Drosophila melanogaster: one gene and its partner. The protein of the gene in region 1 interacts with the protein of each later gene in a pairwise test. Each region holds a gene or a part of one and is shown on either strand. Other genes may lie near its edges.

The links.
Region 2: the proteins of CG9445 (region 1) and CG14190 interact in a two-hybrid assay, tested with the Drosophila melanogaster proteins (one large-scale study listed by BioGRID).

Annotation. Positions count from the first base shown.
Region 1 is NT_033778.4:6,832,066-6,847,134, forward strand, and holds CG9445 (uncharacterized protein), read right to left. Parts: upstream 6,991-15,069; 5' UTR 6,738-6,990; coding exon 6,525-6,737; 3' UTR 6,009-6,524; downstream 1-6,008. Other genes in the region: CG15236 (uncharacterized protein), read left to right, coding at 565-866, 1,550-1,622, 1,690-2,861, 3,428-4,004, 4,462-4,628.
Region 2 is NC_004354.4:19,047,626-19,063,871, forward strand, and holds the start of CG14190 (uncharacterized protein), read left to right. Parts: upstream 1-9,285; 5' UTR 9,286-9,379; intron 9,380-16,246. Other genes in the region: Diedel3 (diedel 3), read left to right, coding at 2,848-3,213.

The DNA of each region.
Region 1 (15,069 bases):
TTCTGTGCGTTTTAATTAATAGATAGTTATCATTCTTGTTCTTCATGCATTTTGAATACACTAATGAAAAGCCTCAGGTGAACTGAGATATGTGGAGATATTTTACCACTGCATCAGGATTAACATTTTATCATAGTTTATTAAGAAATATTTTGCAAGTGATTTATAAACGCATATAATTCATAATGTAATCGTTTACACTTGTTGTGCTCAGCTAACTTAAATCCTATTCAAAAAGTTTTGTTCTGCCAAATAATAATAAAGTTCAGGGGTTTTATTTCGATTTAATAAAGTCCAAAATGTTAATTAGTTTAATGTTCACGTTATCACACTTTTGTTATTCAACTTGCTCATATTTAAGCCGTAATCAGCAGCGGCAAAACCAAATCAATATATGCCCAAATATTTCCTAATAAACAAAACAGCATATGCTGCTAAACGTGGGAATATGTTATGCGGGTCCACCCTATAGTAAATATAATTTCTATTTTTTCTGACTCTGTTCGCATGAGAAAAGCCAAACCAGCACGGGATTATTTTGCATTTGTTCTCGCCCTTTCGCAGCTTTGCCCTTTGAGTATTTAGACGAGCACGAGGACTTCAACTACGACCTGGACACGGCGCAGTCCCAGGCCAAGTACGACGCCCGTCTGCTCTCGCAGCAGATGCTCAGCGATGCAGAGCTGCAGCGGCAGGGGCTGAGCGACGGCCAGGACAACGCCCTGGATGGCGACTCCGCGGCAGCTCAGGGGACTGGAGCAGGGTCCCACTTGGATGCGGTATCCTCTGTCCACGACGACCTGGAGCCGCACAGCAGGGCAGCGGCGTGCTTCACCAACGGGCACAAGTACACGCACGGACAGAAGGTAGGATGACGCCAGAGGCAATATTTCAAATCGGTCTTTCACTGGTTGAACGCTGCTATTTAGTCAGAAAAGAACAGTTCACTGGCTTAAAAACGAGTTAAATGAATTATAACAGTGCTTAGCCGTACATTTGTGGTTTCTGTGCAACTCGGAAGCAGCTAGAGAAGTTCCTGCAGCACCTTTGTAGCTAAATCAGTAGCGAAAATGTTAGCTAGACCTGTATAATTTAACAAGTACTATGATTTTTCTACTTCGTCATCTTCTTTTGACTCAACCCTCGTTTTATTCAGTGAATCCTTCAGACATCCGTTTTTGTGGGTGTAAGGCTGCAATGGAACTCTGCGTCTGTGGTCATTTGAATAACCATAATCGGACGAGCGTTCCTGGTAATTGAACAAAGAGAGTGCATAATTTGAATTTGTGGCTCGTTACCGCACATGTGATGATATGAATGCCAGACCCAGAGCAGTCTCCCTGCTCCTTCAGCCGAGATGTGTGCTTTGCTCGCCCATTCATTGTATCTCAGGCCATCAAATCGGCTGGCGTTGTGATTGATTGTCTGGTTGTGGGTGCACATGTTCCCACATGTTCAGTGTACATATATTGTATAAGCCGCAGGAGCACCTGCTGGCCGAACTTGTCGGAGGAGAAACATCTAAGTTATTTGCTATATCCCTTTCCAGGTTCCGCGCCTGGATGCCTGCGAGGTGTGTCTCTGCATGGACGGCGAGATCTTCTGCTGGTGGGAGAAGTGCGGTTGGTTCTGCGTCGGCTTTTCCCGGCATGCATAATATAACGAGAAACTTTTGCCTTTTTCTCGCAGATAAGGCCAATGTAAACAAGGCGAGGACGGCGGGGGACAACGCAGGACTTGGACTTGGTGTCGAGGACGACGGCGACGGCAATGGCAATGGCGATGGCGATGGTGACTATTCAGATCCATATCGCCACGAGAGCACAACGGGAAAGTCAACAAAAGTGCATAAAGCGGCGAGGAAAGTTGGCAAGCGGCATAAGCATCGCAAGAATCAAAAGAATTTTAATGACTACGAAGTTTACCACAGCCAGCGGGAGAAGCAGCAGCAGCAGCAGTCGGATTATAAAAAGTCCGCCATAAAGCAGCAGCTCCAGATGCAGCAAAAACACAAAAGCGACAAGAGCGGTGCTGGCAACTACAATATAATCAAGCAACACAAACACGAGCAGCAGCAGCAGCAGCTCAAAATACCGCAGCAGCTACATCAGCAACAGCAGCAACAGAATGTGGCAGCTTTGGGTGTTAATCACGCAGCAAAGGCAACGCATTATCAGCAGGCAGCTTCGACGCCCCTGCCAACTCCCCCACCCCCGTCGGAGCACCCGCAGCACAGCCACCACCCACACCAACAGGCGCACTCGTCCAGCAAAATCCTCAACTTCCCCGAGAACTTGCCAGCCCTGCTCTACTACGACTACAAGACGGAGGAGCACGAGCACCACCAGCACCAGCACCACCAGCAGCACTTGCTGCACGAAAAACAGCGCTTGCTGCAGCAGCAGCAGCAGCAACAGCAACAGCAGCAGCAGATGGTGCAGCAAGAGGCGTTGGCGCGACAAAAGGCATCTGAATCCGCATCTGAGCCCGAATCGCGGGCCGGAGGCACAGCAGAGGGAGGCGTTGAACCCAGCGGAGACTTGGCCGCTGATAAAAACTCTGATGAGGCGGAAACCGACAGCGATATTCTGCCAGAGCCGCCTACAAAGCAGCCCAGGGCAGCTGCCACACAATGGCCAACTCCATCTAGTAACAGCTCGGCCAGGGCGTTGATGACGAGCAACGTGGCATCCACATCCACGGCTGCGACAACGACAACGACAAAGACATCGAAAACGAAAACGACAACGGCGACAACGGGAAGGACGACGACGACGACAACGGCGACAGGCACAAATGAAATGGTGACAAGCACGCTGTCTGGAATGGAGAAGTCCGGGGCCACAGTTGCAGCCACAGATGTGAGTTGGGAGGTTGAGTAGGGTCCTCACTTTGGTCGGGCATTGTGTTGGAAAAGTAGCGCAAAAACATATCCATCTCCAAACGTAAGCATTGGAAATAAATGCCAGAACTTCCTGTTAGATTAAAAGTTGAGGGACAATGTTTGTCCTTTCTGAGTGATACTGTTATTGTGCGAATGATAGTCCTAAGGAATCTTCAAGAGACTTCCTCCTTTGTTGGGTGATTTTTCTAATTTTAAGATGAACTAGGGAAGCGAACTGAAGCCAAGCCTCCTTACAGACTAAAACTATTATCCTCCATTTGTCAGAAGCTCAGGGTATTTATAAGACTCGGTCCCCGAAAGTAGCTTTTACGGAAAACCCCAAGGGAAGGCCTTACCCAATTAGTCTGGGGGAAACTGCCACTTCATTGGCTGCCCGGACGAGAAGCTTGAACTCTGCGCCTTCGGTGGTGTGCCCAGTGAGCCCGAAATGCTTCTGGTAATGGGGTTTTTCATGCTCGAGCTGGTTTATTATTTACCATGCAGTCAAGTCGAATTAACAGTCTGTGCTTTATTCCCGACCAGCTTGGACAGATGCAACCCGATCGCCGTGGACCAGACGCGGAGCGAGACGACGCCTTCCACCGCTGGCTGACATCCACCGAGCTGAATGCTGACAACACAAACTCCATGGACGACAGCCTGGAGCGGGAAACGCCGGCATCGACAATAATCGATGATGTTGGCACGGCCAACAAGAGTGACAGGAGCATCGGCGGCATCGGTGGCATCGGCAAAGACAATGGCAACGACGCCGTCTTCTTTCGCAGCTCGTACAACGATTACAGCAGCGAATTCAATGGGAGCGTTGTCAATATTGACATTACACTAACTGCAGTTGATGTGCATCCCCGTCGCCAAACGGATTTAATTGCAAATGGCAACAGAACGTCAGGCGCTAACGACAATGGCAACAGCTGTAGCAGCCAGGTTGGAGCAGCAGGAACAACAATGAACCCAGTGGCAGTCAGCACCAGCAGCAGCACCAGGAGCAGCAACAATCAGGATCAGCCTCAGCAGAGCCCTGTTGTCCCGCCGTACACCCTGACAACGATTATAACAACTGCGCCGATGGCACCAGGGCGTATGTGCAATGTTTTGGGTAAGCAAGCAAGTCGAAGGAGGTGGCCGTCCAAGGGGATTATCGTAGCACAGAGAAATAAATATCCTCGGGCATTTGCGGTCAAGCTGCTATTTGGTCAGTTTGCTTCCATCTGTTTGAGTTTATATTACTATACTTTTTCATTGCGACAAAGATTTTGCCAGACTAAAATCGTATTGTCAAGTCCTTTGCGTTTTGATAAGAACTGCATCAGCTGAGTAAGCCTATTTAAAATATTATTTAAGCCTTTTCAATCATTTTGCTAAATTCAGTAAGAGAGGACAAAGCCAAATAAAAATCTCTGATAAAATAAGCGGTATAATCATTCGATTGCCGGCTAAACATTCCGACGTGAGTCTGGGTAATGAAAACAACATTCCCGTATTTCACTACTGCGCATAACAATTGCTCACTTCTAATCCCATTTAAACTGCAAATCAAACGCTACTCGTTCTAGGCAAACTGTATAAAATTGGTGACATTCTGCCGCAGGACACGGGCAACTGCCTGCAGTGCATTTGCACGGATGCCGTGACTCCCGACGAGATGCCGAGCGTCACCTGCAGTCCGCACAATTGCCCACCGCTGGTTCTTCCGGATCTGTTCGATGCGACTGGTTACTGAGGTTACGGGTTTGTGCTGTAAGTTGCTGCAACGGCAGGTGGCAAGTGGCAGGTAGCAGGTGGAACGCCCCTGCGGCATGAGCTGTGGGAGTTTTTGAATAGATCGAAGCGTGATTTAAATTTTGAAACCGAAAGCCACAACTGCAGCCAGCAAACGAAATAGAATCGAAACGAACGAACAAACGAACGAATCGAATCTAATCGAATCGATTCGAATCACACTCACAACAACTGCACTACAGAACTCACTCTTGAATTGCATGTCACGGTCTCAACTAACTCAACTCAATATGAATTGTATGGATTTCAGTGTAAAGCCCTCCCTATCACGAGTGCCCCAAGCACTCTCTAAAACGAAACCTATCAGCAGACATATATTATATTCGTACCAAACTATATAGTATCGATCCAAGCCGACCAGAGGGGAGAGAGGGGAATGAATAAAGAAGAAGAAGGAAATCGCAGTTGGCTCACAGTTTAGACTTTAAGCTGAATGTTTATGCATTTTATAAGAATCCGTATTCATCTCTCTCCGCAACAAAAATCCATTAATGTATACAGCAGTAGCAATCGTAAAGAATTTATAGATGTACCAAACAGAAGTATATAGTATATACAAACATATACGAGTATCTACTCTATATCTAAATCTAATATCTAAACCTATACCTGTGCGTAGCGAGTTCGGTGGGATCAGTTTGATTACTTAGATTATTTCCCGACTGAGAGGAAACCGTGTAGAGTTTTCAGTGTATTTATCAACGGAGAGCCCCAAGTGAAACGAGTAACTTATACAAATATAGGAAACTAAATCTAAACGAAAAAAACTGAACAATGACAAATAATGAACAACGTGTGTAACGTGTGTATTTTAATTTTGATATTAAAAGCAAACAACGTTCTCCTCATTTGCATGCATGTTATTGTTTCGCGCTTCTTTGGAAATTAAGCCATACGTAATCTATGAATCGAAAATTGACGTTAGGAGCAATGTATGGACATTGTTTAAACAAACACAAAGTTGGCAAGGAAAGACACCATATCGAGTAGCTATAACATTTTAAGGAATAATCCCCACTGTATTTAATATAAACTTAGAATTTCAAAAATTGCGGAGATTACCGAAAATCTATTTGTTTTGGTTTCTGGCGACAAAGACAGCATTTATTTCAAAGCAAGTTTAGGCGTGATAAACATTGATTTATTCGAAAGGGGTTAAAGCGGAATATATAATACTTGAAAAGTAGAAAACAATTTCGATTTTAAGGCAAATCAAAATACATTCGAGCGAGTTTTTTATAACCGAGCTCGAACAAAACTATACTCGTATGGGCATGTGAACCATGGAATCAAAATGCAAAATATACGTACATGCGAATATACCGATGCAGACAAACGTAAATATTTATTATTGATGTTGCACAAGAGAGCGTATGGTAAATTCGAAGAAAAATAGAAAAATTCATCTTGAACGAGCATATTAAAAATGTATACAAATATGCGTATTTATGTATGTGTAAAATAAATGTAACTACAACTCTCTACTAATCTGCAACTCGCACACAGATACAGATGCACCGGCATCCCTGTGTTTAAATGGAATTTGTGTTTGAAATCAAATTGAAATCAAATCGACATGAATAAACCGAAACCCAACTAAGGCATTTCGAAACATGGCTCTATTTCATTTCAGTGTTTGTAATCCTATTTGCAAAAGGTAAGACTGCGAGTTAATTAATGCCGTGCATCATTGTCCATAATGCGGGCGAATTGGTCCACCGGCATACATAAATCATGTAGCCCAAGGTTGGTGCAACATTAGATACATATATTCCTCTTATGATGGCTCATACATGGGTGCTATTTACTAAAGTATCACTTTACTCTTTCCATCCTGCTAGTCGTCTTCGCTGCCGGACTCGAAGCCTGAATCCTCTTCGAGTTCGGCTAGAATGAAGGCTTCTATGGCCATCTGCAGGGCAAGGACGTCTCCTTCGCCAGGATCGGGTCCTTGCAGCATGGCCGTCGGTGGACCCGCGTAGTGGGAGAAGGCTTCGCGCTGCCTGCCCAAGGACCGCACCGCGAGCTGGTTGTCCCCTCCTCCGTCCATCTTAGTGGGTCCGGTGCAGGGCTATTGGTACCCGATCGGAGCTGGAAGTCGGCTGGAAACAAATGATGGCGCTTGGGCGCTGGGCTTGTGTTTTTTGGAATTTTGAGTATATGCTTTTCGATCGGCATTCAAAACGTGTTTGAATATCCCTGGCCGATGTGACAGGCCTCGCAAAAGCAGTGCGAATGCGGAAATTGCCTGCGGCAGATTGGCTGTTTAATATTGTTAAATAAAGCGCTTCGGGACGAGTTATTAGTTTTCCAAAGCCGTTTGTGTTTGTGTGCGCAGCGCAATCATCGCAGTGACAGCCGACCGCAGGGCACTTTCAAGCTGTGTGTGCGTGTGTGTGTGTGTAACCGGAAGCGGAAGTCGCGTCCCGTTCCGTTCGGCGCCGCTCCCTTTCGCATGCCGCCTACGCACGCATTACGTACCCGCCCCGTTGCCTGACCGCATAAAGCCATTTGGCCATTTTGGCAACAAGCCCTAGCCCACAGCACCCGCTGACACAAAGTAGTCAGCCGCACAATACTTTGCTGTCAATTTGTGATAACGGCAGCTTTATTTGAAAATATGTGCGACTTTATTTCCCGGCTGTGCCGAGCCGATTTTGCGGCCACACTGGCTGACAGCTGCTAGATGGTTTGTCGGTTGGCCAGCAGTGGATAGTGGGGTGGTGGGCAGTGGGCTGCTGATAGAACGTGTGAAATTGAATATTTACAAGAGCCCTTTCAGGTGGAAGTGCCCCATGTTGTCGGCCATGAATAGTGGGGCTTAGAGCGATTTGCGATGTTCGACTCGCAAAAGGAAGCCAACAAAGGGTGGCGGATCCGTTTCAACCACTTCTACCGAGCCGAACCGAGTTCGCATTCCGCATTATTATTTTTATGGCCAGCAGCAGTGAGGAGCCGAAGGTCTCAACTAATTAAATTTCCCAGATGTGTGTGTGTGTGTGTTTGCATGCACATATTTAAATTGGCTCTGCCAGGCCACATAGCTGGCTATGTATGACTATATGACTATATTCCGGACTGCATTCTGGGTCGGAGAGTTGGTTGAGCAATGCACATTTTTAATTACGCTGCACATTTGCATTTGAATTGCGCATTTTACAGGCTGATAAGCCGAAATAAAGGCAACAGTTGTGCAGTGGCTGCCAAAGATATGTTGGCTCTGGCCACGCCCCCATGCAGCTGCACACTCGCTCGTGTTTTTTACAGATCCCCAGAATGTGTAATTTTCGAGTTGACAACTTTTGTCCCAAAGCAGTGACCTCGTTACGCCCACACAGCCGGCTATATAGTATACTATACTATATTGCATTAGAGCCGTGCTCCTCCTTCAAAACAGAATCTGCCCGCAGCCATAACCCCAGTGAGCCGGGCGGGCACAAAGGATACGGTGGAGGAGGAGAAGAAGGAGGGACTGGAATGGAATGGATTGGATTGGGTTGGATCGGATGGTGAAAGCGAGTGCAGAATGCCTTTCAATGAAATGCAAAGCAGAGAAAGTTGGAGAACAAAAGGCATACGGAGCTTTTAAATTTTACTGCCTTCGCTTCGATTCCGGGCGCTAATGGAAACCCTGCATTTCCATTTTACCTTCTAGTCCGGGGAGAATTTTCCCGATCGACCATTCTGCTAATGGAAAAACATTCAGCGCTGCGCCTTTGAAATTCTTGAAGTTCAAGGACCCTCTGTTTCAGTCCGTAGGTGCACTACTTCTGTCACTATGTCACTATTAAACGGGAAAATTAAGCTCCCTCCGCAAATCAATGACACTGGTGTCCCATTTCTCGCCATCCCCAAAAACACGTGTCTAGGATGGGGACTTTTCAACCGCCTACTGGGCTGATGTTTAAGCCATTTTTAATGACAGCCTGACGCCTGACAACGGCTAATGATGGCGGCTAGCCAAAGTTTTGCGGCTTTTGCGGATTAAAATTGAAAACGCTTGCATTCATTAATCCTGCCAACGGAAAAACCCAACTAGAACGTGACATGAGGCAGGTGTCGCATTAATTAGTGTAAGCATTCACACGGCTCCCACTCCACAGCTTGCGAAATGAAAGTTTCCTCGGGCGGGCGGTTTCATTTCGCCGAGATGTGTCACTCCGCAATTTGGGTCAAGATGGCTTGAGTTAAATTATTGCAAACGGCATTCCGCACCGTCTTCCTGCCCCTCGAAGTCCTCGAATCGAGGACACGTGCCTATTTGCATAGATAACCTCAGGCCAGTGAATCAACTCCTTTGATAGCCTCCAATAGCAAAAGCTTTCAAATGCGATTATTGAATTATTGGGCAATAAGACTAGAAGGCACAATTAAAACCAGTCTTTGCGCCTAAAACATTACAGTGTCCATCTGAAAAATGTCTAAATAAAGCGGCTTTAATTTTTTAATATCTTTAAAATTTATTTAGGCAGATAAAAAGTGACATTAACATTAGTATGCGTGATATAATAGCCATTTTTTCACACCACTAAATTTCATGTTTTGTGGCAATAACATTTTAATTTACTGTTTTTGACCTGGAGGTAAGTTATGCTAATGTTTAACATAAACATACATTATCGTATTTAATTAAATTTTAAGGCAATGGAATCTAAAAGGCGTCATTGTACCAAAAAAGTACAGTCTCAAAAGTAGACAACTACATATAATGAAGTTTAGTGTTAAAAGGTGAATATGTGAATTTGAATATACTCAATGTCTTAGTTTGCGAAACTGAGAAATGGCTTTAGTCCCAGGACGTGCAAACAGTTGAGCAAGCCTTTTATGAATTTTCATAGAACATTTAACACAATCCAGGAGAACTAGCTCTTTGCCAGCATCCAGCATTGATCATTCAGTTGGCACCGTGTCTGGCCCCAAACAAGAATTCCACAAAAGCGCCCAACTTCCCATCTTATCCAGCCCCCATTTCTGGCTGCCTGATGCCGATGTGTCTGTTACCTGGGGCAAGCCAGAAGGCAGTTTCCAGAGATGAGATGCTCCGAGAGATGAACAGCTGATGACCGTGACTGTGCCTTTGTGCTGGCGAGACCCAGACCCCCAGGCACCCAGTCTTCCAAGTCTTTCGAGTCTTGTGGTGGCATCTGAGGGGTGAACATACAAATTAATCTTCATCTGGCACTCGCACCCACAACACCACCCAACTAAGCTTCTGACCGCTCAAGCTCGCTATTTGAAAGCGATGCGAAAAAGACAATAACAAATCAACGTACTGATACTAAGGGAAAGCTGCCATGGTTTATTGCAATCAACTTAAATCTTAACACTATTATCTGGCAATTATCGGGCATTTTATATAAGCAGTAACTTTTTTGATTGGTCCCGGTCGAGGACAATGAAGTGAAATCGTTTCGAAGCTTACTATGATATATATTAATGATATGATATATATATAGATAAAATAAAGGGAAACAATTTGAACAGCGGCTTACTTGAAACGGACGGATGGACAGAAGGGCATATGGATACGGATCAGGAACATATGTCTATGAATACCATTAGCGCGTACTTTATATGCAAATTTTTGCCACGACGTATTGATTTAAGTGTTATTTAGTACAATTTTCGACCATTTCAGTTTCAAACGTTTAAATAAGAAAAGGTATCATATATTTAAGAACTTGGTGAAACTTTGCAGAAATTGCTTCTAATGGAAACAACTTAGGGAAGTATGTTATTTTTGATACTTCAAGAGTAAGTCGTTGAAATTGATATCAGATTATACTGTTGTCGAGAACTGAAAACTAAACTGTCTATCTAATTCAGATGCTTATTTCTATTAATAACTGGCAGGCAGTTCCACCTCTAATCCCATTGTGCGGAGTGTAAGCCAACGACTGACTTGGTATTTAAAGCTCCTCCGTGACTCGGTCAGAGCAAACAGTTCCTGGACCACTGGCTTCATGGCCCTTTGTGTAATACCTCTGTTGGGAAATGCCTTTCAGCTCGCTCCTCCTTCAATCTGCTCTCGGTCAGAAGCCACTGGGGCAAACAAGTCCGCCCCAATGGGTATTTACCAAGTGTCAGTCACTTTTTCTGCACTTTCCTTAATTACTGTCATTGGCCGCCGCTGCCATTTTGTTCCAGAGCTCTTGTGAATTTGCAGTCATCAAAATATTGTGGCCGAATTATGTAGCGATAGTTGTGTGACGAATTTTGGAATATTATATGCATTTTTCGCTAGTCCTTCCAGAGTGCTCTGTTTTTGAAAGCTGTGGCTTTGAGTTATCCTAGTTGGTCAACAAATGGTTTTCGGCATTTTGGAGCACTTTAACTGGCTAATTCTCGGGCAAAATGCACAAATTGTGTAATTTTCAAGTTAACAGCTCTTGACCTGGTTCAGAGTGGCAGTCCTCCGCAAATCCTTCTGTTGATTTGGTCCGCGGAATTTAGTTTGTTTTGTAACAGCGCTCAAATATGCAAAAGCGCAATTGTGTGTTAAGTTGGCTTTGTTGCCGCGTGTGTGCATGCTTTTAGGCTCAGGGGTAGTCGAGGCATTTTATGCGACTGCCACAAGTTTGTTGGCAAAAGTTTGAGCCCGTAAAACTTTTAATTCAGTGCCTACCAACCAGTTGTTCCCGGCCATCCTATCCATCCAGCCCATCCAGCCCATCCAGCCCATCCAGCCCATCCAACCCATCCAATCCATGGAGCTCATGGTTGCCATGAACAGCAGTAGTAACAGTAACAGGCTTTTAGCGAATACACACATTAAGCCCTTTGCTGCTCGGTCTGTCCTTTATGAAAGGGTTCAGGAGCAAAAGTTTCGCATACACCTTAGGATCCTGCCTGGTGGCTGGCTGTTGGTGCTCAACTAACAACAATTCGGGGGTTAAAAGCGGGCGAGTGAGTGCAGGTCGAGAACAAATGAGGAAAATATGCTTCAATAACAAAACACTCAACACTTAGGAGCACGGGAACAAGTGAGCACAGGACGAGTGCTAAAAGGAACAACGACCGATTTACATAAGGACCCCAAACAGACGCACCAACCATCCATCCATCCATATCCAACCATCCGGAGAAATGCAAACACGACCAGGACACCCAGAACACCCAGAACAGCCAGACACTCGGAAAAACAAGCGTCTATTGTGGCGGAAAACTTTTTGCGCCGTTGAAAGGCATTTTTCGATGCAGAAAAAGATTTATTAATATTTAACAGCCCAGCTAGAGGAAAACACACGAAATTTTCCGGGATATGCAAACATAATAACTGTTGCAGCAGCCAGGGTGAAAGTTCAACATGGACGTAAGTGGACTTTGCTGTGTACCAGTTTTCTGACTGCGACTTGTCCCGCTCCTGACTTCAATATCCTGCAGACTAGCCGGACTGCAGGAAGCACTTTGTGGACGGGCAGAATACCCCACGGAGCGCCAAATGGCGGCCAGTCACGGATTTGGTCCTCCCAGCCCAGATCCTTCCTGCCGGACGCCCACGACCATTGCATCAGGGTGGGTCACATTGTTTGACAAGAAAATGCTGTTGGAGCAATGCATTCCTAGGAAGAACGCTTTAAGCCTCTGCAATCGGATTTAAATGTTAAGGAAAGTTATCATTGTATCACCATTAAATTATGAAGTAATTTAACCGATAGTTTCTAGAGTTTTGCCTTTAATATATATCAAATCCCCTAGTATCAACTTCGAATGGTTAAGTTGTAAGAGGAATTTAAGAATTGTCGTTATAAGTACGTCTTCTTATTATTATGGCTTCAATTTGCTGGTGCTGTCCTGTAAGCTTGATACACCCTGTCGTGCGTTTCTTGCACAACCGCCCGCCACAACGGCAAACAAAAGGGCAGGATGAAGCGGATGGGGATGGGTATTGGGGTTGGTCCGAAATCTGGGGACTGGGACTGCGGCATGCATTATTGAGTATGAAGGACCCACTGATTTTTTCGGTTAGCGACTTCCCTTGCCGAGCGATGACAATGCGAAGAGGGCCGTGCAATTGCCATCAAACGTAGCGCCAAAAGCCGAGCCGAACTCATTAGGCTTGCAACGCCGAGTGGTGGCCGTGCTCTAATTATGCCGTCTCTATCTAATTCCCCTTCCCAGCCAGCTCGGCTTTCTGCTTCGCTTGTGTTCTCCCAGTGTCCTGGCTCTTTGGTGCTTTGCTATTCTGGTGTCCTGGTGTCGTGGACTTCTTTTTGGCCCGCCCAGGCAAACTGTGATTGTGGGCGGAGCGAAATCGGAGGAGGCAGTTCCGCTGGATGGACAATGGGAATGCGATCGGCTCCTCGGGCTTTTGACTTTACTGTTGTCCCACATAATGACCATAAAAGGGGTTCATGGCGAAGGAACTGCTGGTTTGACCTTCAGCGGGCATTAAAAAGAAATAAATAATAAATCAACTCGGGCATGAAATATTCAATAACCTAAACCGACAAAGATTTACTGCTCAGCCGTTTATTTCGTGCGACCCAAGAATAAAAAGCCGGCATGAGAAAAAAAAACACTTTGTAAGCAATTTGGGCAGGAAAAAGCTGGCTGGATCTGTTTTGAAAACTGCCAACTAAACAAGAAGTCACTCAAGGCCCGAAAGCACACATAGGGCCACCCACACGCCTGCCACACAAATTGAAAGAGTTGCCAAAGTTGATTGCTGGCTAAACGAAAGGTGGCCCAAAGCCTGCCCGGCAGTCGGTAGACGGACTATTCTTACTAACCTGGCCTTAACCTGGCTTAGAGGACCGCCTTTGACGCCCTTCATAATTTGCCAGGACGACCACGACAGCCGCACACTTGAGAGCTGCTCTGTAGCCACAAAGGAAAATATAAATTGTTTTTATTTCTGTGCGAACGAGGAAATGGAATAATCAAAAGATAATGACACAAAGGGAAATGGAGGAAAAGTCATCATCGTCGGCCACGTGAAATAGCGAAAGTTTACCTCACAACTACCACATATTTTACAGATGTCAGATAGCGCGTATGCGGGCTACGAACTTCCTAATCCTGGCCAACAACAGCCCGTGTTGCCATCAGTCCGTAGTGCCTGCCACAATTCCGGCAATCTGTCCGGCGGGCGGGGATATCACTGCCAAAAAGACATTTAATACACGCAAATAAATATCGCCGGCGAGTCTCGTGTGCAGTGTACACAGACCGGAAACAGAAAGGCTACAATTCAGGATACGGAAAAGGGTGGCAGGGGTTGGGGAGTGGAAGCAGTCAGTCGCAGGATATGGCCATGAGAAATTAGTGGAGTTTTGCCGCATAAATTGCCGCCCATACTAGCTTATATACCACAGAAGCAATCTGGTTCAGCATTTTAGGGAAATTCTAAGGACTCTATTCTGTTGTGACTACGATGGAATGCAAAAAACTAATGAAACAGAATTTTCGGATTTAATATTCAGAATTTTTATCGGTAGCTTTTATAACTGAAGTTATACACACTATAAATCAGCCAACTATGTTTAAACAATGCTTTCCAGAAATTTATGTGAATTGTATGCCAATCAAGTTGGGCTTCATAATTCATTGCTGATTAAATTTTATGCCAGATGTAGGTAATCAAAAACTGATATACATATATACTAATAATAATAATAATAATAATAATACTCGAAATTGTGAATTGTGCTGAAACTTGAGCAACACAAGCGGCTTTGTGTATCTTGCAGAAATATTTGTAGTTAATTGTTAATTGAATTCAGCTTTTCAAAGTTGTGTAGTTTGAAATAATTGTAACTTGCATCAGTTACATAAACTTCTACCGAAAAATAATAATGATAATCCATAAGATACCTGAAGACGGGAAACATTGTTGTAGGATCTACAGCGAACATGGCGACCAGTGCTAGTGAGTAACTAAAATCACAATGATTGCCGTTGAGGTTTGTTTGCACTTGTTGGCAAATGCCCTAAATACTCGTACGCCACTGTGGTGGTGAGCATTCAGATGGGATGGAAGTGGGCAGTGGGCAGTGGGAGTGGAAATAAAGCTTCGGAGGAGTCACGCTCGTAATTTTCCATAGGCAACATTTGCCATGATAATACGTAATATACATAACAACCACAGTTATGCGAGGCCGGGGGCGATTCCGACCCTCATGCATATTGATGGTATGCCGAAAATAGTTCCTCAAAGATAATAAATAGATGCCAAACGCAGTGGCCAGCGCTAGCAGCTCTGCTTTCGGCCAACATAGCGCACTAAACACAGCCAGCTGCTGCTGCTGTTAACATTTCGTACTCAGCTCGCTGCTGTGGGGTCAGTTGAGTTGATTTTGGGGCTCTGGGGATTACACTGGATAATTGCAGTCTATTGCAGGGCCAGAACCAGATCCAGAGCTACAGCTACAGGCTTCTCA
Region 2 (16,246 bases), on another chromosome or scaffold:
TATCGTAACGTAGAAGGAAGCCCCAAACAAACCAAGGAGCTCTGGCGTGGCAACTGTACTCGGTAGCCAAAGTCATTTGACAAATGCCAATTGACGGGCATCGAAGACGGGGCCCCCAGAACAACAAACAAAGCGCAGCCAAACGGAGAAAAGAAAAAAAATTCATTTCTGATTGCCAAATGAACGAATGACGAATGACTGATACCGGGTCTGAAATTCAAGAAATCGGAGGACAAATCGGATGCGGATCGAGGGGTTCGGGGGGTCGGATAAGTAATGGGGCCGCCGGTCGAGTCCCGAGTTTGTCAATTTGATAAATGCCATTTTAAGTTCCGAATAATGGATTCACAATCGGTAGTCCACAGATTCCACTGAGATTTTTCCAAGAACAGCGGAGCTTATTTTTAAAGAAAATTATTTCGTTTTGAGAATGAAATTCTTTTCTAAAATAAAACATTATTTCGGAATTAAATGAGGCTACGTGAGATTTACAGTAGTAGGTGGGGGAAACTAGTATATCAGAACTTTCTGATAGTTTTTTAAGCATTTTGGCGCAGTTTTGCTTACGCGTAAAATTGAAACAAACGCACCAGGGACAATGATCGAATGACTTTAATTGATCCGTCAGCAAATTCGAAAGTACCAAATGTTTACATGTTCTACTACATAAGCCATATGTTCTTTTGTATATAAGAGTGGTCTTAGAACGCCGTTGGTTTGTTGACGCATTTTTTTCAAAGCCAACTTCATTTTTGTTTCGGCTCGCCAGCAAGTCAGTTCGGTTTTCAGTTCTTCGAAGATTCCATCTAGATACAATCCTAAAATGTTTGATGCCAAAAATTTGTCTTTGTTAGCGAAGTGAGTGCATAAAATGAACTCATATTCATATATTTATATTTCACAATTGTTAAAATCTTTATTTCATAGGACTCAAGTACGTCGAAAATGTCTTTTAACAAAATGCAACATAATTTCTAAGGAGAAGCAAATTGAAATGAAACACTCAAATACTTCAGAAGATGAAAATATCAACCAAGTGTAAACGAATCTGATAATATGACTATCTACCAGAAATAGAGAATTAATATATGTGTTTAAGTTTTTAGGGATCAAATAATATTATTCATACTTATAAATTTATAAGGCGAAGTGCCAAGAGGATGTCAGAAATAAGATGCAATAAAATGTTGTCTTAATCTAGCCAAATATTGGAATTAAACCACCAATTCTGTGTTCAAAGATATATACATATATGTATAACTCATAATAAATGATTAATATTTGAGTAAAAGAGATCTAAGTTAGTAGGACGTACAACCCAACCGATTATTGATGTGTAAGTTCTTGAAGCCCATATTGTACAATATATTAATTACTTTCAATAAATGCATATTTAACTAAAGAACATTCTAATCCAATTAGGAAATAGTAATTGTACCTCATGTACATGCTTAATTTCGTTGGGGATTACAAATCGAAGCATTCCAAATCATAATGGTATCCTCAGAATGTCCTTTTCAAGGCGAATGACAAGCTGCGCGGGCATCTTTCCCGGATTTTCATTCACTTTTTACACATTTTTAATAAATTGCCGGGACTGGGGCTTCTTGCCCATGGGAATGTGGCCCCCGGAGGAGCGCCTTGAGTTGGTGGACACTCCCCCCCTTGGGATGGCTTCCTTCCGCTACACAATGCACGGAATTCGACATTGACCATCATTCATCATTAAATTGTTTCGCTAACTGTTTTCAGCAATATTTTTTTCGGCGTACGCGTGCTTACAAGCCGCTTCCTGCCGCTTTTTCATCGCTCCCGAAATTTGATGAATTTCTTTTTTATTCATTTCGTAACCGGCACAAAAACTTCTTCCTTTCCTTTCTTTTCTTTTTTTCTTTTTTTCCATTTTTTTTGTATTATTTTATTTTATTTTATTTCAGTTCTTGCTGGCCCGCTCCTTGTGTCTTACAACATTTTTCTAATCAGTCAGCGTCCACGTCCGCTTCAAATTTTTTGTAGTCTTCCTTCGATTTTCCCTTCATTGTATTCCATCCACTTTTTCCACATTTCGATACGGGTCCACAAAAAAAGATGCCAAAAAAAGATGCTGGCGGGCGGAAAATCGTGGGGAATGTACTTGAATTGGGTGGCGACTTAAGAAAGAAAAGCCTAAAATCTTTTTTTTACCATACTCACTTGGTGGATCTTCGGTTTATCGCAGAGAGAAAGACAATTTTTCTATATCTGAGTGGCAATAAATCGATCAATATTCTGAAGAAGTTGGCTTGAAGAAGGGGGTACTTTTCATAGTGATACGAATTAATCTATAACGAGTAAGTAATACTATAAAACCCTTTTTAGATAATGTGAGTGAGTAAAGAGTGTGAGTGCTGTCAAAATTAATATTGCGACCAGACATGTATACTTGTTCACTTGAAGGGTTTACAATCTTAAAAGATAATAGCAAGAGGGATCGCTATGGTCCAGTGTATAGACGGTTAAATACCCCTTATATTGTTGACAACATGCATAGCCAAGGATTAGATAAAATAGCCTAATATTTGGAAAATTGGTTTGATTTAATTTGGTAATATTGGAGAGGAGAATAAAATAAATGAAATAATGCAAATCTTTTTTACCGAACGAGCGACATCTTTTGGTGAGTAGAGGAGTGAAAAGAGGAATAATCATTTATAATATTGTAGTTAATCACAATGCCATTCTGTCATTCTCTCCAGCGAACACAACATATATTTAGTTTAAAGGGTAAAACTAAAAGCGCTTTAAAGTTAATAGAACCATTCCTATATAAAGCCCAATATAAAGTTTTCAATAAGTTATTCGATTACAATGCGAGCGGTTTCGGTGTCAGTGCTACTCATCCTTGTTGTCTGGGTGTCCTGTTTCGGCGAATCAGGCGCAGATTGCTGCTGGACAAAGGCCAAGCTGCTCTTCACGATGGGCACAGGATCGTGCGGAATGGTCAATGCCAAGACCACCAAATACGGATGCGAGGCCACAGTTTGCGCGGATGGAAGAGTGCTCAAGGGCACATATTGTGGCGTGGGTTCGTGCAATATCATTGGATGCTTTTGTCGCGGCGGCTGTCTCACTGGAAACTATGGCGAGTCATTTGTGGAAATAAATAATAGGTATCAGATCAACTTGATAAGCACCCAAATGAGGCTTGCCAATTTAACAGATACCGAGGCCTAATTTTAATTTTATTCCATTGAAATCAAAAAAAAAAAAACTTAACTTTGAGTAAAATAAAGCGTATCAAACAGATGTTATTTTTACGTGGTAAAAGTTTCAAGTTTGCTGATTGTTAATATACCTACCAGAGCGATTCGAAGTGAATATGTTTAAAGATTAATTCAGATACCGTATACAGTATTAAAATTATACCTTAGATAAATGATTCAATTTAGTGATGGAACTTGCCAGCAAAAATATTCATTTTAATAACGCGTTTTCAGGACATCTCACATAAGCGCGGTTAGGTTTCACCATTCAATTCAAGTGGTCGCTGGAGTTATCACTTTACCATTTAGATTGCATTATCCCCTCACTGGGCAACTGGGCAACTGGGCAACTGGACGACCTTTCGACCCCGGAAAGCCAATCATCCGTCCATCCAATCGCTGTGCTTTCGGGTATAATCCGTATATCTAGTGCTGTATCTCGTTATGACGCCCTGTCGCGGGAAGCGTCTCAAAGTTTTGGCCCACTGAATGGGTTCAAAAAGTGCCATAAAACACCCGCTAAACAGAAGTTTGCGTGGGGCGGGGGCGGCGGCCAAAGTTGGCTTTATGCCGGTGGCATAATCAAGGATCAGTGGGGGCAAGGACCAGGACCAGGAGAACTACGTGTCCACAAAGTGGCGCTCCGCGTGCAAACAGGAGTGGATGTGGCACTGGGCGTGGACGTGGGCGAAAAGAAATGATAATAATGCTCGGGTCAAAACAATATAAATGCAAATGCAGCGGCGCTGGCTGCTCAGTCGGCGTCGACTCAACGCCTTTTACAGTCCTGCAACGCATTTTAATCAGTTGGCAGTGGAACTCCGGCACCGAATCCAACTGCAGATCCCCCGTCCACGTCCACGTCCTCGTCCTTCATTCTGTTGGCAATCCCCGACTTTCCGCAGAACAGTGTCCTGGCCTGCTGGTCTGTCCTGTCCTGAATGCCAAGTGCGACGTCAGCGGGGGACAGTTTATGAGGATGGCGCGAGAGGCGCGAAAAGTTTACGCCTGCGGCTCGCAGGGGGCGTGGCATTGGGATGCACTCGACGAAATATCCATGGAGTTGTGGCACGGCAGGATATACAAATGGCATCCGATGCTCAACTTTCGTTTACAACGCATTTTAATCATACACACTAAGTTTTCTTTGCAGTGGATCGTGTCCGGTTTGGCCAGCATCGAGGGGACGACTGGTGACTGGTCCGCCCTCACCTGTTGCCCGGGCCATAAATCATAACTCAATTGAGTGGGCGTGGCAGCGTGCCCACAGGAAAAAAGCGTTCAGTATCAAATGGAATTGATTGCGAACATCCCAAGATTGCAGCAGCTTAAAAAGAGTTTCGCCAGTTTTCAGTTTTCAGATTTCAGCTTTCAGTTTTCCGAGTCCCCGGGCCCGTAAATCAATCGTTGGCCGGGATAATTCCCTCTGATGCGATTAGCCAGCAACTCCCGGAGTTAATCGAGGCAGCCGATAACGAGCCGGACCATCCGGATCATGGAGAATCGGAGTGCGTAACCGAGTATTCAAGTAGCCAAGTATCTGGATATCCGGGTAGCCGAGTATCCCCAACTGGGTTATGCACTTATTGGCTGTCCGCTTTTTGCGAATCCGATGAAACGGGTGTGGTGGGTGGAAAGTGCGTGGATGCATGGATGCATGGCTCAAAAGGCGCCGAAACTCGCTTTTCTTATTAACTAATTAAGGCAGCTGCCAAGCCAGATGCTGCCACATTTTCCCCAGCATGTGTGTGTTGCCAATTTAACGCTCCGGCTTTGTCGTCACTTTGTGTCTTCCTCGCCGTTAGCCCCCTTTTTTTGGTCTTGGCCCGGGAAATTTGCATTTCCATTTGCCTGCAGCGGGCGCAAGTTGCAGCTGGAAAACCCCACACCGCTCCAATTTTAATGAATTGCCAAAATCGCACAAATGCTAAACGAAAATTCAATTTGCAGATATAACAACAAGCTGGAGCAAGGCCTAAGTCGAGTCAAGAGCGTCGGGAATACCCTGGGCAAAACTGCTTTTACTTTGCTGGATGATGACTTTTATCCAAAATGCGAAGCAATACTTTTGATTCCTAAATAGATTTCTTAATAGCAGCTCGTATACCTTTAGTTTTCAGTGATCATTAATATAGGTAATACAAGTGAATTTATATGGAAAAAGTAATGATACTAAGGAAAATGAAAGATAAGAATATAATAATATAACATACCCAAAGCAACCAATTACTGGGTAGAAAAGCCACCGCGAGAGGCTTTTGCGATAGTAACAATAAATAAATTGCACATTTGCGGACGTCGACGCCTTTGCAACTCTGCCGGCAAATTGCCGTTGATTGAATTTATGTGTGTCAGGGGCGGGAGGGGCGAAAGGGAGCAGGGGCGTGGAGCAGGGGGCGTGGCACACAAACACACAGGCACGAAGATACACAAAAGACTCTTACATGCTTCATTATTTCTGTGGCTAAATTAAAGGATAATAGATTTATATGCTTGCCTGGGCCCGAACTGAAATCCATAAGATACACACACCCAAGCACGAGTATCTCGCAGATGCACAGGCAAATGCAAGTGCACACGCTGAAAACCAGGGTTGCCAGGCTTAAGTTATGAGGAGCCATTTAAAATCGTAGAAAAAAAATTACAAAATATCAGCATTCACGACTTGCGACTGCTCATAGAAATTGCCCTAGTAACATACTGGAAAACTTAAATTTTGGAGACCCTTAACCAACTTTTGTATAATGCAAATCGGGCATTGTGGCAGCACTGGTGCTCTTGTCCCAGCTTTAAGAAGTAGAAGAATAATACAAAATAACAACAAGCCAGGTCAAAGGCCACGAGTATCTCAATCGTGTTTGTTGGGCGAACCCATGGCTCGGCCAAGGAATTTTGAATGAAAAATATTTGAAATATCAAAATGCTTATGTTGATTTTTCCACCCTGACCCTCCTTCACTTTGACTTCATCCAATTCAGGAAGGACTTTTTCATTCACGACAAGAAGGCGAACAAGTAAGCGAACAAAGTTGCAAAAGGATGTTATGATGCTTTGAAAACTAGATAGAAGATCTACTTATTGCTTCTGTAAGATCAACATATGTATATCTTTAGAAGTTAAAGTACCTTTTTTTTTTTGTACAAACCATCAAACATTTAAAAAAGACAGAATCACACGATCATCGGAAATACTTATTGATATCAACTTTAGTAACGAATTTTTATATTTAACAATCTGTTATTAATTTATTTCATAATTTATTTTGCCCCGGTTGAGAAGCAAATAGAGAACTGCATGTGTCGTTGTTGTATGATTGCCATGCATTTCAAATGCTGCCCGAATAAATTTCAATGACCAAAAGATAAGTTTAGCATATTAGCATATTTTACGTAGCATACTTTTCAGCATTGACCGCACTGGAAAAACCGCACTACAATTTACCACAATCCGGCCACATGGAGTCGACCTCTACTCGTCCAATCGCAATCCCAATCCCAATCCTTTGCCCCGCAAATTCACTTGAACTCTCACTTAATTTTTGCTAATTTCTGCTGTTGTTGCCTTCGCCTGCCTTTCGGTCGTTAGGCAAATGATTAAGTAATTGCTCTGGCTCAAAAAGGAGGCGGTCCTGGAACTGGTTTGTTATTGGGGACTGGGACGTGGAACAGGAATAGGGACAGGGTCGCCGGCTCATGACCATCAGTGGCTCATTAGCTGGGGGCCGAGCGAGTCGAAAAAGCAAAAAAAAAATTAGGAAGAAAGGCAGCCGGCTCCAAATGAGCGAAGGAATTACACGGAATGAAGAGTGGCAAATTGAGTGAACGAGCGACTTTAAAGGACGAAAAGGATCAGGGAATGGGCCGGTCGGCGGTTTTATTGCATAAATTAACTTGGCCAAACACAATTTTGCAATTATTCTGCAATTAATAATTAATGTGGCCGCTGTCCGAGAACCGCAGGGCGAACGTTGCAGCAGAGAGGATGGTGCCATGAAGGATGGCCAAATGTCGAGGCTCAAGGCCCTTTAAACGGCTTTAAAACCACCCAAACGTTGAACTTTCGCACTTGAAGCTTTGCGGTCGAGTTGTCATCGGTGTCCTCGATGTCCTCGATACTCTCGTTTCACGGTGCTCAGCTCGAAGCGCTCGGATCTCAGCGCCCGGATCTCCTTGTTGCCGTCTGTCACTTCATTACTGTCACATGATAACTGGAAATTGTTGAGCCCTGCCCTTGGCTTTAAGTGGCTTTCACCTTGACGCCCACTCACCACCACACGACCCCATTGGGCGGCTTTGGCCATAGCAATGGCTCCATAAAAAAAAGGCGATACGCTCCGGCCACAAGGGAACTCATTACGGCCCAAGTCCGGCCAACAAGTCACATCACCGTAGTGGAAAGGCGAGTGTTTGTGTCCATTTGGCGTACGTTTTATGAGGACACATGCCCTAGCCAAACACCCCGTGCAATTGTATTCGCATATGTGTGGCACAGAGGGTGTCGCCAACTGGGGGTTGAAATGACGGGATACCCTGTAAAAATTAAATCGAATTTTTCGATGCTTCGTTCCAGCAACACAGAATTTTTTTTGTACATTATTACTACATTTCGCCTATCAATAAAATTGAATACTAAGATATTATCTGAGCATAATTTCACCTATGCCCATCATAGCTCATTTCCAGCTTAGTTGCACCCACAGGTGGCTTTTTTCACAAGGAGATTAAAACGCCAAGCCACACCGGGTCAATTGTTTTCGAGGGTATGGAGGAGCAGCATCCGCATCTCACAGACGCATTCTGGGCATTATTGGAAATTGTGCGCTTCGTTAGCGGCAAATATGTTGCAAAGTAGCCCCAGACAAGCAAACGCCTCCCCCCCACCACCCTCTTCGATTTTCCGATATTGACCAAGCAGAAGCGAGCGCTGAAAGCCTATTTCCCAGTGAGTCGCCACCACTTTTCCTGTGGATGACAGTTTTCTTGGGCTACGGCATCTAAGACGTTCCTTCTGCCTCTCATTCCTTTCCTGAAAACGGAATTTCCGCCTCCCAGACGACGACTCTTTGTGTTCATGTGCGTCTTTCGGCTTGGGCTTTGTTGCCTCGAAGCTTATCATTTATTGCTGCTGATTGCTTTGCCTGTCCATACAACCACCCAGCCACCCAGCCACCCAACCACCCAGCCACCCATCCAGCCACCCCCTTTTTGGCCACCCAGTGAAGGACACCCTCTTTGGATTTTGCATATGCATATGCGTAGCAAACGAAATGAAACGAATGCAGAAAAAAAAGTGCCAATAAAGAAATTTAATTTAATTTCCAACTTTGAGATATGTACATACATATATGGGGAATGAAATACCCGACGATGAGCCCCCTTTTGGTGAATGGAAATCGAAACGCATTTGTCAGCATTTCGCATTTAAACTTTTGCGCCTTTAAGTGCAATTTTCAAACATTTTGCGGCAGATTAAATGGGCGAATGGAGGCGGGACTGGGTCCTTAAATACGGTTAAGCATTTACATATGTTTATAAATTTGCACAGGAAGAAGTTCCCCTTTTCGAGGTCGGATTACAACGGTTTCTCTTGTGATGAGCCAAATGTGGGTCCAAAAGAAGGGAACATCTGTTGTAGAGAACTGAAGGATGTTCTCGAGGTTCTAAGAAGTGAAGATATTCCTCATTTTTCAATACTCATTCGGATAAGAAACCTATTGGATTTCTAAGTATTAGAAAATATATGACACTATTATTGTTGGTATGAATGCCTTTGGTGTCTTCAAAAGATCTATTAATTGAGCATACCAGCAACAAAGATTTTCGCTTAACAATTCAAAATGGGGAATTTGATCGCTTTTTTTATGCATAAATGTGTTTTTAAAAATTTGGAAATTTTGGAAATTTTATTTTGTAGTTACGAGATATTAATTTATGCCAAAAAAAACCCATAGTACTTAGTACCTGATCGACATTTTTCCTTCACAAGTCGACTGTGGACGGGATGTCAATCGAATTTGGCCGGATCGAGCATTCAAATGCCCAATTTCAGTTCTAGTTTCAAAGTTGTCGGAGCTCACGAAAAAAAACGGTTTCGAGTTGAATCAAGATATTGAAGTTGCAGCAGTTTTCGTTTGATTGGTGAGTGAAAAGCTTCCCTTTGCCCAGCAAATACAGCGTTTAACCCTGCCAAGCCCCTTCTCAACATCTCATTCATCGCGGGCGCAGAAATTGCCAGCGATTTTTATCATTTTAAATGGACGAACAACAAGAACGACGCAGTGAGCCGAAAAAAAAGTGAAAAAAAAATGTGAAAAAAATGTGAAAAAATGTGGAAAAATGTGTGGCGCAGTCAAGTGGCGGGCATTTAATGCCCGTTTTGTAGCCGTTGTTGTTGTTGTTGCGATCTCAAAGGCGGATTTGCATTATAATTTATTGCAGTGCCTGCATACTCTTTGTCCTTGTGTTTTTCCGCCGCTTTCCCATTTTCCTCGGCGCACTTTTTTGCTTTGGCTAATTTCGATGCCAGGGCGGTGATAAGCGGAGCATTTCTTTAAATGAGTTTTCCCAGTCAAGTTTTCCCCCGCGGGAAAAGTTCCAAGCAAAAGGCGTTGAAAATCCCGTTCTTAATACTTGACGCCCCGCTAACATTTATAAATTATTAATTTCCCCTCTCCACCTCATCACAGCATCTCTTCCCCCCCCCCACTCCACTCGTTTTCTGTGTTTTGGCTGCTGGATTAGTGGATCAGTTTATTCATATGTGGTTCAAAGCAGCCAAAAGAACAAAGAGCCGACACGAAACGACGGCTTAAACTGTCTCTTGTTTTTATTAGTCCAAAAGCCGCGTTGCAAAGCCACCCAACCACCCCCAAAAACAGCCACCCACTTCGCCCACCCGAAAGGTAAATGCGACACGTAGCTTATTAGCAGCGAAAGCAAAACTTTCATCAGTTGGTGTAAGCCCGGTTCTGGAAAAACGTTCCAAGCCCATAAAGTACAGTTTTCAATAGCCGGGAAATCCGGGAAAATCAATGCAGCTGCGTACTGCGATTAACTGAAATGAAACTAAACGAAGGATTAAATACCCTTTGAGTAAAATATGCGTGGCTTTTACCATGAAAATGTAAAGCGTGTTCGCCAAAAAGCTCAATGGCATATGTATATGCACAGGGAATATGTACAGTCTCATTCATCTGGATATTTTTGGATAGATTACATATGTATGTGTGTAATTTATAAGTATTGATACGTTACCCAGATTATTGCATACAGATTTAAATTCCCCTTTTCATCTGCAGTTCGTAGGGCAACGCAAAAAGGATTTAGAATATTATAACGCTCAGAAAAAAAAAAGACGGATAATTTGTATATTTTTGTTCACTTTTGAGCTAGAAAGACCTCATTAAAATAAACATAAATTGTAAATTAATAACTATGCTTTTGGCCCTTGACTAATTGACATTTGATATTCGGCTCTGAATTTTCGACTCGAAGGGCCAAATAAAATGCATAATTAAGACCGTGAGTTGTCAGATATTAGCGATTCGATAACGAGGACAATTCAACGGCATTTCACTTTATATGAAGTTCAATTTAATAGGCACCTATTTCTGTGCCCCTTTCATGTACCGAATTTGGTGGACGATTTCGTGTGCGAGGGAAATTGTTTAATTATTTAGTAACTCGATGCTTAAAAGCTTAACAAGCAAAAGCCCATGCTAATGATGGGCGGCCAGTGGGCGTGATATCCTAGCGACCAAGCTTCGTCATAATTTGGCCCAAAATGTTGATGCCGCCATTAAATCAGAGTCACAGACCTCGTTCTGCTGACCACAGAACCTTTTAGCCAGCCCATTTCCATTCCCACTCCCACTTTCCCACTTGCCCACTTGCCCACTTGCCCGCAAAAGTGTCAATAACGTGGCCAAGAAGGAAGAATCGAGGGAGCCGGAGGAGGAGGAGGAGCTATTACTAGCTAGGGGCCAGAAGGCAGTGGCCAGGATCTTTCGCCCGGGGCCAGCTGGTGTCCTTAGCCTGGGCAAACAATAAAATATTCAAAGTTTATAATGTAAATTAACCCAAAGTTGCCTGATGTCCTGCCGCGTCGTCCTCTGCTCTCCACTGCCGCCAGGCGCCATGAATACACAATACACATGTCCCCCGGAAATTGGTGGGGTCGCACCGCCCTGCCATCCCGTTTGGCCACCATAATTTCTGATATTCTTGGGGCCTCACAAGGATTTGGCCCGGTCCTCGTCCTGTCCATGTCGCCGCGCCGAACTGTTTGGCTAATCAAATTTTATTGAGCCACTGAGTGCTGGGCGGCGAGACAGCCGAAGTGGGCGTGGCATCTAGTTAACATGGCACCGAGCCCAATGGTCAATAGCAAACTATAGTTTAATGAGATTAATTTGGACAAGGACTTTGTGCCTGTAACTGCATTAGTTGCACGCAAATTTCGTATCCAACTTAAATTGGCTGAGTGCTATTTTAATATATTTTCATATAAAGCATATAGCTAAAGTTTAACAATGCATTTTTGCAACTGATTAATGTTGAACAAATCGTGGCATATATGAAGTCTCAAGGGACTTCAGTTCGCCTACCCACGTAGCTCATATCTCTAATTACTACGTTGCATATTAACTGACGAATGACCTACTATTTGATATATAGGCCAGATATCTTGGTCATGAGTCAGTCCCGGCTTGTAAATTGACCTTTGATCGCAGCCAGCTTCCTCATCTCGAAACCATCCCACTCTCCTGGCCATCTTCAGACTATGCTGATGCTTAACTAGCCGCTTATTCATCAGAGCTCCGAAAGCCGAAAGCCGGGGAATGATGAATGCCCCCAGCAAATCGGATGAGATGCGAGCAACTGGAAGAGCCATCTCGGTGGAGCTGCTGGTGGAGATGGAGATGGAGATGGAAGTGGAAGTGGAAGTGGAGACTTCAGTGGTCACATGCCACAGCCCGTTCAAGTGTTGTTGGGACATAAACATCTCCGGGCCCACATGAAATGTCATCTTTCATTAGATTAACGATTGTTCCAGTGGCTGGTCGTTGGATGCTGGGATGCTTGGATGTTCGGGAATGTTGGGGAAGGAGTGGCGTGGGTGAGGAGTGGCGTGGAGTGGCAGGGGCAGGGCGGCGTCCAGTGGCAAAGCTCTCTGCCCGAAATCAAATCTTCAACAATCTGTTCTGCCAAATGCCTCCGCACACGCAAAAACGGGCTGAGATGAAAGGGCGGGGAATCGCCGGCATATGGCTCCCCGCAAAAAAGTGTCAAATGCGTGGGGACAGAGGCGAGTGGGAGAGGGGGGGAGAATGAGCCTATGGCGCCAGGAACAAAACCAGGACTCAGGACTCAGGATCCAGGACGACTGTCAACTTGAGCCTGACAAAGTATTTGCGGCTTGCCAGTCATTTTTCGTGTTTGTGGACAGGGGCAGAGATTGTGTGTGTGCACTTGCAAAAATTCTAGTTGACTTCGTTGGGAGTTTTTTAATACACAACATGAAAGTGATACGCATTTTCAAGTTCCTTTTATTCATGCTTGCTTTTAATTCACTCATTTAATTCAATATTACTATTTTTTTTTTTTTTTTTTTTTTTTTTTTTTAATTTTTTATTATTTATTGAATCTTCCCTTTGTGTTAAGAGACTAACAATAAGTGTTCAAATCTTAATCTAACTTAATTAACTTTCACTTAGTGATAGTTTTTTTTTTTCATTAATGCCCTAATAAGTTTATTGCTGGGCTGGGAGGTCGTTGCGGTGCAGCCGGCTTTGACTGCATACTCGGATTAGTTTTCTTGCGAGGGGATTTGTATGGGTGGTCAGCTTTTCGTTATACTTCGTTTTTTTCTCAGCTATTACTTCGATTACTAATTTGATTTTTAGGTCTCTGTGTATGTTTTCGTTTCGAAGGTACCACGGCGCTCCAGTGATAATTCTCAGAATTCTTGACTGTGCTCGCTGAATAATGTCTATGTTACTTCTGGATGCGTTGCCCCACAGCTCGGAGCCATAAGTCCAGATAGGTTTTAAGACGGAGTTGTATAGAAGAGCTTTGAACTCCAGACTAAGTGGAGAGCGAGCATTTATGAGCCAGTGGAGGTTCCTTGCTTTAAGTTTAAGATGTTTCGATTTGGCTTCTATATGTTTGCGCCAAGTGAGCCGCCTGTCCAGATGAACTCCCAGATATGTTACCTCGTCGGCTTGTGGAATGCATATGTTATTCAAGACCAGTGGTGGGCATGTTTGTTTGTTTAAGGTAAAGGTAACCTGCTTGCATTTTTGAACATTTATTGAAATTCTCCAGTCGGCAAGCCATCGTTCTACAGATGTTAAGTGTCGGGATAGGAGTGCCGTGGCTTTTATTGGGCATTTCGAGCGACTGAGTATCGCGGTATCATCAGCGAACGTGGAGGTTGTTAGATTGTAGTCTATGGGGAAATCCGCCGTATACAGGGTGTATAAGATTGGACCCAGTACACTGCCTTGCGGCACTCCAGCTTCGATTGCGCAATCGCGTGAAGTGCTTGTATCGCATCTTATTGCAAACACTCTGTTATATAGGTATGACTTCAGTAGCTTATGTGTGTTTTGGGGCAACAGCTTGATTATTTTAAACAAAAGTCCATCGAGCCACACTCTGTCAAATGCCTGCGCGACGTCTAGAAAAATGGCTGTGCAGTATTCTCGATGTTCAAAAGCAGTACGAATTTCTGACGTGATTCGGTTGACCTGTTCGATGGTTCCATGTTTTTCTCTAAAGCCAAATTGATGTGTTGGAAGTGTGTTGTTTATTCTAAGATGAGGGCTAATCCGAAGGAGTAGCATTTTTTCAAACAGCTTTGAAAGACATGTTAGTAAGCTTATCGGTCTATATGATGATGGCTGCGTTTTATCTTTTCCTGGCTTTGGAATCATTACTATGGTCGACTTTTTCCATTTTTGAGGGAAGTATCCAAGCTTGGCGATTGCGTTGAACAACAGGCAGATGTGAAGAATAGCACACTTTGGGAGTTCAATGAGCATTCTTGGAGTTATTAGGTCGTAGCCAGGCGATTTTCTTGGGTTCAGTTGCTCTTTGATAACCTTTGCTAGTTCACATGGTCGGAATTCAAAGGGTTCTTGAGGATCTAGATTGGCTGCTATTAAAGGAGGGAGAATAAATGTGTTGGTAGAGGGATTTGGTCGGAATACATTTTGTAAATGGTCAGCGAAAGCACTGGCTCTTTCTTCATCACTTCGAAACCAGGTGCCAGAGGGACTTCGGAGTGGCATAATTGGCGCTATTGGAGTCTTTAGGTTTCTGTGAGCTCTCCAAAGAGGGTACTTAGTGCTGGTGGGAGAGAGTTGCTCGATATATGAACGTTGGCTGTTTTTTTCCTCTTGTTTGAGAGCATTGGTAAGCCTGCGTGTGGCTATCTTAAGCATGTGCTTAGTAATTGGTGATCTATTAGACTGCCAATCCCTTCGTAGGCGTCGTTTATCTAATACCAGCCGCTCGATTTCGCGATTAGTTTTGATGTAGTTTGGTTTTGCATACGTCACTGGCGGGGTTGAAGCCTTTGCAGCCGAAACTAAAATGTTTTCAAGAGTTTCCGTTGACTTGTCTATATCCTCCTTTGTAGATAATGCCGTCGTTAGTTCTATGTGTGAACAGACATACTTTTGATACCTTGGCCAGTTTGTTCTAAAATTTGTGAGTCTATACGGTGGGTCGACGATGTGGGGGCGAGTTAGCATATTTAGAAAAACAGGTGAGTGATCTGATGATAAATCTGCTAGTGCTTCGGCGGTGACCATGTTGCGGGGGACATGTTTAGTAATTGCAAAATCGATCAGGTCTGGGATTTTTCTTGGGTCTGCTGGCCAGTATGTAGGCTTACCCGGGGATACATAGTCTAGCTTGTTTTCTGGCTTCGTAAGCGCATTGTACAATTGCTTACCCTTTGGCGACACAAGTCGAGATCCCCAATGGGTGTGCTTGGCGTTATAGTCACCCGCTGCGATGAACCTGTCACCTAGTGTGTTAAAGAATTCCATGAATTGATCCTCAGAGATTGGAAAGCGCGGTGGGCAGTAGACTGCGGCTAGAGTCGTTGAACCATTGTTGAGTTGTAAGGCTATGGACGTAGATTGTAAGTAGTTTTTGTCAAAATTGTTTAAGTGGTGGTGTTTTATGCGATTTCTGATGAGTATTCCAGTGCCTCCATGAGCTTTACCATCTGGATGATTTGTACCATAGAACAAGTATCCTGGTATATGAAAATTGTTTTTATTTGTGAGGTGCGTTTCTGATAGTAGCATTACGTCGATGTTTTTTTCGTAAATGAACTGTGTGAGCTCTTGTGTATGCCGTGAAACGCCATTTGCGTTCCACAGAGATATCCGTAGGGAAGCCATTATGGGGATTTTGAAGATACAAGAAGTTGAATCAGGATATTTTGGTTTTTCATGAGCTCTTGCAAAGTATTTTGCATGAACGTCATGAAGTCTTTCATGCTTTGCTGTAGGGATAGCATCATAGCTTCGATGCCACTTTGTTGTGTTTGTTGGATGTTTGTCGGTGTATGTTCGGAATGAGCAGTTCTTGTCGGTGGGGCGGGCACTTCTAGTCCGGATTTTAGGGCGCTAGCGAAAGAAATTGTTGGAGTAGTGCTTGGGACAGTTAGGGGTGGTTGAAAAATCGGTTGCGGAGAGTAGAAATTGACTTTGTTGTATGTATGTGCTGTGGCAATACGTTTGTTTAGGCGGCTCTTCAATTCTTTGTACACCACACAGCCTCTGTAGTTTGCAGTATGTTTTTCCCCGCAGTTACTGCATTTCTTCACAGACTTATCGTCCTTGTTTTTGGGGCAGTTTGCGGTAGTATGAGGTTCGCTACAGACAACACATACGGACTTAAGGGTGCAGTATGCCTTGGTGTGGCCGTATTCTTGGCAATTAGTACATTGAACTGGATTGATACGTTTGTGCGGCTCCTCCACGG